Coturnix japonica: one gene and its partner. The protein of the gene in region 2 interacts with the protein of the main gene of each other region in a pairwise test. Links are inferred from orthologs where the notes say so. Each region holds a gene or a part of one and is shown on either strand. Other genes may lie near its edges.

Region 1 (4,521 bases), on a different chromosome or scaffold from region 2:
GAAATTAAAAGGCAAAAAACACATATGCTTCCTTAAGCACAGTCTTACTCATTTTCCCTCCCCCTAGTGTTCCAGAGTTACATCAGATACTCCGGGAGTCTTCAGTTGTATGTTGTTACATACACGGATGTTCTAGGTCCTGCTTTCATGTATACATCTAATACTTTATTATTATTAATTCTACTCAATTGGCTCATGGCAAAAGTTAGAAATCCTTTGTTTCAGCTCCAGTTCTGTCTTTCCTAAAAACAGCACATAACAATATTGTCAAGAGTTGGAATTATTTACTACCTCAAAGAAAATAAGAACGTCTAAACCTTTTGAAGTTTGTAAATAACCAGGGAAGGGAGTTAATTCAAGGTTCCATAGCACTACCTTCAGATGGAAGAGATGCAGCCTAGCAAACTGCAATGAATCACAGAATCACAGAACTGTAGGGGTTGGAAGGGACCTCTAGAGATCATCGAGTCTAACCCCCCTGCCAAAGCAGGCTCCCTACACCACGTCACACAGGTAGGCGTCCAGGCAGGTCTTGAGTATCTCCAGAGAAGGAGACTCCACCACCTCCCTGGGCAGCCTGTTGCGGTGCTCCGTCACCCTCACTGTAAAGAAGTTCTTCCGCACATTCGTGCAGAACTTCCTATGCTGTAGTTTCATCCCATTACCCCTAGTCCTGTCCCCATGCACTACTGAAAAGAGACCAGCCTCACCACTATGGCTCCCACACCTTAGGTATTTATAAACCTGGATCAAGTCCCCTCTCAGCCTTCTTTTCTCAAGGCTAAACTAATTCTAATTCTAAATGAAAATTACTGTTATTTGCAGGGACAATTATTTCTACACCTCTTCATTGTCATACATTCTAAAGACCAGCAGAAAGCTAAGAAAACTCTTGTCACGCACTCCAGAATGATAGCGAACAACTGAGAAAGGAAAACACTGCCAAAGAGAATCATATGGTACCTTCACCACAAGAAAAACACTGGCTGTGAGTTTTTAAGCTGGAGAAACGCTTTTGCGTTCATAGTAAAATAACATACTACATACTCTGAAAGAAGAAAAAGTTTCCCTTATTCCACGAGAGCCTTTAAAAGCAAGTTGTATCTGCAAGTTTATGAAGTCACTGCCTGAGGTAAATGTTGATAAAATTTAGCTTTTATTATACCTATTAAACCCTACATGCCTTATATTTCTACTCATCTATTTACCGTGGTCTTCTAAGCAACTAAAAACCACCACTCCTCATGAAAGAAGAAGGAAAGCTCATCTCTTCAGCACATTTCTAAACGCATGAATGACTTGCTACACATGAATGATTCCTACTTGGTTATCAAATTAGATTCAAGGGAAGTCAGTCTCCTCCATAACCAATAGAGGGAAGAAAAAAACAAAACAGATAAATTAAGGTAAAAAAAAAAAAAAATCAACCATCATTATTTTCTCGCTACTCATTACACTGTTTCTGATGTACGTCAATTACGAGGTTAGTGAGAAAGAACAACCTTTTGTAGACAATCTTCAGGTCTCTCCATTCCAGGAAGCTGCACATTTTCGGTTTGCGGGCTAATACTGTTTGAACAAGTTCCCTTGTGATTTTCTTCTTTTCTTTGTCAGATAGTGGGACATACCACTTCTGGAGTCTCAGTTTCCCCTGGCGACTAAAAAGCAACATAAACTGCATCTGTTGAATTAGAAGGGGAAAAAAAGGATTATTCTCAGTCTCTTAAGTTCTAAGAAGATTTCTACGAGGAAAACCAAGCGGGAAGCGAGATAGCCATCCAAAAGCCTATCTACATGATGTATTTCTACACCGGTGGCAGACGTTACACAAGATTCGGAAGCACCAATAACACAAAGGATTCAGCTGAACAAGGTCAGTGAGAGCAGAGATAGTAGGAAGCACGCACAACTTTCAGAACCGCCAGTCAGAGGCAGCAGGCAGCGACTACACCCGGGATTCTGGCAAACCACGTCCAGCATTGGTATGGTCGCGTTTGCATTTACTATAGAAAACGACAGAAAGCAGCACACCCATCTCCTCCAACACCCAACCTCGTTTCCAATTCACACGATTAAAGCCTTACAAGCACGAGCAATTTGCGCTTAAGACCTTTCCGAAAAGCCTTTAAAAATACTTTTAAGAGGCATTAAATCTCCCACCGGAGAGTCCTATGGCATCGAACAGCCTTGCCTTCTCTTGCACTGCACAAAAGGAGTAGAGATTAAGTGCTTTCCCTGCGGTCCTACGTTCCAGGTCTCGCTTCCTCTACAGGAGTGATGTTGCAATTATATCTTTAGAGGAACTTGTCAGCTGTGTTTTCCAGCGGCTGTAACATTAAAGGAAATGGCTTTTCTTTCTTTCTTTTTTTGCTTTTCCTCCCCTTTTCGCTCCAAGTTATGTCGGGCTTGAGGAAGTTTCCCAGGCGATACAGCAGACGTGAAATCCCACGGAGAAGCCCAGCCCGCTCCCTGCTGACAGTCCGAAGAGGGCAGGACGCGGCAGCCCGGATCCCCCACAGTGTCAGCCCGCAGCCTCCCTCCCTCCGGCCGCCGAACCACCCCCTCCCCCCCGCCCAGGGGACCCTCCCGGAGCCCCGAGCCGCTACCAGAGGGCACAGAGCCGCGGGCACACGGAGCAACGGGGCCGGGCCCGCCCCGTTCGGGGACAGCCGCCGCCCGTCCCAACGCGGCCGTGTGAGGGGGGGGGGATGAGCGGAAAGCAGGCGGCCGCTCTTCTCGTTGCGGAGAGCGGCGGGTCCCGGCAGCGCGGGGCAGGAGGGAGCTGAGAGAGGCGAGTCCGTCCCCGCGCCGCGGTGCTCGCGGTGCTCACCGTGCCCCGGAGGGGAGAGCGAGGAGGAAGAGGAGGAGGAGGCGGCGGCACCGCTCCCGAGCTTGATGCTGCCGCCACGGCCGCCGCGCGGGACTGAGGGGAGAGAAGGGAGACGCCGCCGGCTCGAGCCCGGCGCCAGCGCGCGCGCGCCTCAACGGCCGCCTCTTCCCCCCCCCCCCCAACACACACATACAGACATACACCGCCTCGCTCGGGCTGCCTGGGGCGGGGCCGGACTCGAGGACGCTGCTCCCGGGCGGGGGGCGGGACCAGCGGGGGGACGGACACAACTTCGTTCGCCGCCTTGAAGGAGGGGCCGGATCCGGGAGCGAGGCGCATGTGCGGGGTTGGAGGGCTGAGGGGCAACGGGAGCTCGATGCTGACCAATTGGAGAGCGCGGCGCGGCGGAGGGAGGGAGGAGTGAAGAGCCGCGCTGGCCAATGAGAAAGAGCGAAAAGCGCCGAGGAAGAGGCGGTGGGAGGGACGAAGCAGGGGGCGGGACTAAAGGGCTTAATCCTCAACAGCCGCCGCGGCAACAACCAATCAGAAGGCAGATAGCGGTTCTCACAGTCTCACAGTCTGGTGCAGGTTGGAAGGGACCTTGAGATCATCGAGTCCAACCCCCGGGATTCGAGCCTCTGTGTAGCAGAGCGGCACTTCTACCACTTGCGCCACAGGGGGGATTCGAACCCAGGGCCTCCGGTGTTGCAAGGCGGCGTCCTTAACCACTGCGCCACCGGGGCACACAAGCCGCCCGTGGTTCGGCGAGGCGCCTCCTTCCTTTCTCCCGGTGCCCGGGGTCAGCTACTGATGGTGCAGAGAATAGGTGGCGGTGCCGCGCATGCGTAGGGCTGTGTTTCCTTCTAGCACGTGCGGTGGGGCAGGGCGGGGCGGGGCGAGATGGGATCGGAGCCATTAAGGCGGAGGGGAGGGAGGGATGGTTAGTGCTGTGGGCGGAGTGCTGCTATTGCGGTTGTTCGTAGGCCTGATGGTGCTGTGTCAGAAAGTGCCTCTTCCCTAATGGTCACTGTGCTGTTCTTGAGTCGCTATATACTGAGCCAGATACATATGATGCTTAAACCGATAATATGTGCCCCGGTGGCGCAGTGGTAGCAATGCCGCTTGCAACACCGGGACCCGGGTTCGAATCCCCCTATGGCGCAAGTGGTAGAAGTGCCGCTCTGCTACACAGAGGCTCGAATCCCTGGGGTTGGACTCGATGATCTCTAAGGTCCCTTCCAACCCGCACCAGACTATGATACTGTGAATATAATAGCCTCCGTGTTGTCCACAAGCCCGTGGCAATGCAAATGTCATGCGTTCTAATTTTAGGCAGACGCTGCGTCTTCTTCTCATTAGCCTTTGCTTATTGTCATATGGCCTACCTTAACGAGGTGGGTTTTAAAGAATGAACTCAGGGTTTTGATTTCTAAGTCACGAGTGATAACACTGCATTATTAATGGGATGGATTCTTCTAACTGCTGTAGTTATAAAATCCTTTGTATTCTGTTTTAGACACAAGGCAGTTCTTCAGGGGATGTGTCCGCTGACCATAAAACATTTGGGGTCTCCAGCCAAGACTTTGCTCTCGAGATTATTTCCAGCACAACTGGCGGCACAGAAGAGAACTGCCTGGAGCTGGGAAGAGAGACAGGGGAGGAGAGATGAAGGAAGCTTACACAAAATAAGA
Region 2 (3,774 bases):
CACGAACATAACTTCCTGCCTGTAACAACATTAATGTATTCAAGGAAAGAAGTTGTTAGGTTACATTACACAACTTCTCGGTAACACGTAGCAGCTGCTGACATCCTTCACAAAGCCACATGATTCATACACGTTTACAAAACAAACAAACAAACAACAAAAAAACAACCACCACGTTATCATCCTCAAGTACTCCATGGCTGATTTTGCTTTGTTGAAGTACAAAACAGTACACTCTCCCAGGGCACTCAGCTATACCCAGAGTAAACTGAGTAAACTCAGCTTGGATTAACTTTAATAAACTGTTTTAATGCTTTCCTTGCAAGTCACTTCAAGGCTGCATTCACTCCCTCCTCAAAGGGCTATATATTGGAATGACAGAAAGCACGAGTTATCCTGACTTTGAAGTCACTGCAGTAGAAAAACTCTGCTACACAGTCTACTTGCGTATTAGCTGCCTTAAGTCATTATATAAGAACACTTCAGTTTTGCACTGATATACTTTACAGCTGCCCCCTAATCAGTGATAAATAACTACCTATAGAATTCAAGAATTTTTACAAAGTCACATATAAGAGAGGCAATTTTACTTACTGTTGTTAAGACTCTCATGATTGTGTCTATGTGCCAGCGTTTGGAAGGAGCGTATCTGACAAAAATAAGAATTAAAGAACTATGAGCCTTAATGCCAGCAAAAAACAAAACAAATTCAGCAGAACCTTCTCCCCATTTTATCACCTCCTGGCCCACCTTTTCCTAGAATAAAAAAAACTTAATTCTTTTACCTTTTGTTACTAACACTGACATTGAAACGTTGAATGAACATACAAGCACAGCCATAGCTCACACATACTTAAAAATCAGGCTATTGATTACAATGGCTCAACTTTAATCAGATCATCTCACTTGCACATGTAATCAGGGAGAACACGAGTGGGCACATGGAACAGGCGAGGGGTGAAAAGCCAAGATGTCAACACAAAATCTGTTCCAAAGAACAGCATAAATCAATAAACTAGACTGTCTTAATGATGTGAGGACTGCCTACAAGGGAACATTAGTGTGCCCTGATGCACTGGCATGTCCTGTCCTTCAGCAGGCATAAAACCAATGAACCCCCAAATCAACCCATTCTCCCTTAAGTGTTGAGTAGACAAGGCAAAAACGCTCACGATTTTGATAACTGGAAAAAAAAATTAATGGCAAATTCCATACTTTTCTGCTGCAAGGAATATTCCAGATGCACAGTCTGCCTTGAACTCTGGCTCACACGAATCTAGGAAATACAGCAACTCCTTCATCATTCCACGAACATTGTTCCCATTAACAAGAGCAAAACTCAGTTCCATTGCGCGCCTAGGGTAATGGACAGAAAACAAAGTATATTCTCTTGGTGAAGTAAAGTAAGTCCAGTTACTCACATGCACTTACCTTTTGGTTAAAAGAGCAATGTTATTATGGATGGCTCTTCCCAGAGGATTAAATGCAACAGCATTTTCTTGTTAGGACAAGAAACAGCCACCCCAGAAAACCATAAACTGGAGTACAGCTGCAGGAATCACCCAAGAGATCCTAAGGCTAAAAATATCTTTCAACAACCAAAGTCCATCTGTGTTAAGGTCCAAGTATTCATAGTTACACATTGGTCATGTCTGACACAACTGCAAGAAAGCTATACCAGCTACAAGATTTCTTCAGTTTCAGAAATCTTTAAATCCATTTTGTTCTCCAACCATTGGAGACTCAAACACATCAGAGTTGATAAGGTTGTCTTGGCAGATAAACTACATAAGGTTTCCAGAACTTGGGATTATTGAGGTGCTCTTTTCAGAAGTCATTCCTTCCCTGTCAAAAGTTGACATCACAACTGGACATAGCCCTGGCTATCTGACATTACTTTTTCTATATAAACAAAGATCAGAGGCCAGTCTTTGGCCCTTCTACTTGACACTTCAGTAGTTGATCGTAGCACAACTCTCCCATCTGTTCCACATTTCCTGAATGAAGACTACTGTCTTCAAATACATTTCTGGGAAACCATATCAATTTGCTATGCTAAGGTGCATTAAAGCAGCCTCACTAAACAACTCTGACTATTCTTTACAATTGAGTACTTGGTGTAACCCAGAACACAAACTCGTCAAGTATAGAAAGGATGGAACAGCTTTATCAGGAACATCATTCTCTGTCCATCACTGAGATAGGCTAATAAAATAAGATCCCTCAAGAGCATCAAAAACTTCCACCCATATATTGCTCACATTCAATCACATTACGGGCCTCAATTTTGTTAAAAAGTTCCTAATAATGCAATTTGATCATATTAAGCTGACAGATAAACTTAAACTAAATGGCAAAGCTACTCTGAAGTACACTACACAGACCAAAGTTGCATTGCAACGTTTAAGATGACAAGGACATGCCATGCTTCAAAAGTCAACCAAAACCAGTTATGTTTTTCCTCTCAAGTTCCAGACCTCAAAACTTGCTGTCTGGGGACTCCAAAATCCAGTCAATATATTGCTTCAATGAGAACAGTGCATTGTCAGCAGCACGAGTGTCAGCACAGCAACATCAAGCTCTGCCGATGGATCACTCAAAGGCTTCATCCTCCAACAGCACTCAGACATGAAGCTCTGTTGTTTGTAGCATGTTTTCCTTAACAGGCATCAACGAAATGCACTAAATTCAATCTATAATCATTAATTGAAGATTTTAACATTGCTTCAGGACAATATGACCCTACTTATTTGCTTGGAAAAGTAACACCAAGATGTCCAAATAGCTTTGATTAGGACTCTAATTTATGAAGGCTGACTCTTCTAAGCACACCAACTCATCTCTGGATGACTCACTGTGGAAACATTCAGGCAAACAGAAAAAATTATCCCCCCACCAATCCAAGAGGTGGAAAATGTAAAAGCAGCTTCTCAAAGAAAGCAGCTGCATGTTTTAATTATCTTTATAACCTTACATGAAGTAGAAATCAAATGATGCATTAATACTAGTCTCATTTTCAGCTCTCCAGTTCTCCTGTCATTTTCCCATATGTCCTGCTCACTCTTCAGAGACTGCCCCTTTCACTGATATCTAAGTTACCTTTTAATGGAGACATCCAGATCTTTCAGGCAGTCCACAATTGTGCTTCTATGTCTCTGTACTGCATTATGGTCTGTCTGCACAGTTTTCAACAGTGATGTCAAAGCCACATATCTGAGATAAGAATACATCATAAGAAAATAGTTAATGGTAAGCATTCGATTTCTACGTACAAATATACCTACCCACACTTCAAAACAATACTTCAAAGAACACTCTCCTGGAAAGTCCTACTTAGTATAATCTTTGTGTCATTGCTTCTTAGACATCTTAAGCTGAGCATAGATGGAGCACACTTCATACAACTTACCTAATATTTTTGTCATTGTTCAATAGGAAACGGCCTAGGATGTTAATAGCTAAGACCTGCAGAAAAAGTTACAAAAGATCAGTGACAAAGAAATCCCCCATCACTGCTTAAACATGACTTAAAAGGCAACATTACTACTGTGCTTCTTGGCCAAAAGCATAACAAAGAACTCTGGGGCCTGACTAAGCAAAGGGAAAACTAAGACAAACTTTGTATGGGCTCTCTCCTTTACTCAATGAGAAACAGTCCTCAGGAAGGTTTTGCTGAACCCCCTCCCCCACCTTTTCCCTTGTTTTCTTCTTCCTTTTTTTTTTTTCTTACCCCCCTTGTAACACTATAATGCAATGGAAAGTACAGCACTAATA

What was found. The genes of interacting proteins can lie anywhere in the genome.
Region 1: the proteins of AP1G1 (region 2) and AP1S2 interact in binary tests that used the Homo sapiens proteins (3 or more experiments, as listed by UniProt). The link is inferred for Coturnix japonica from reciprocal best matches to the Homo sapiens genes AP1G1 and AP1S2.

Annotation. Positions count from the first base shown.
Region 1 is NC_029516.1:109,762,756-109,767,276, reverse strand, and holds the start of AP1S2 (AP-1 complex subunit sigma-2), read right to left. Parts: upstream 3,047-4,521; 5' UTR 3,030-3,046; coding exon 3,024-3,029; intron 3,010-3,023; exon of another isoform or gene 2,831-3,009; intron 2,533-2,830; exon of another isoform or gene 2,161-2,532; intron 1,682-2,160; coding exon 1,503-1,681; intron 1-1,502. UniProt on the Homo sapiens protein: Subunit of clathrin-associated adaptor protein complex 1 that plays a role in protein sorting in the late-Golgi/trans-Golgi network (TGN) and/or endosomes.
Region 2 is NC_029526.1:17,674,846-17,678,619, reverse strand, and holds part of AP1G1 (AP-1 complex subunit gamma-1), read right to left. Parts: intron 3,466-3,774; coding exon 3,410-3,465; intron 3,214-3,409; coding exon 3,100-3,213; intron 2,624-3,099; exon of another isoform or gene 2,537-2,623; intron 1,357-2,536; coding exon 1,216-1,356; intron 650-1,215; coding exon 595-649; intron 20-594; coding exon 1-19. UniProt on the Homo sapiens protein: Subunit of clathrin-associated adaptor protein complex 1 that plays a role in protein sorting in the late-Golgi/trans-Golgi network (TGN) and/or endosomes.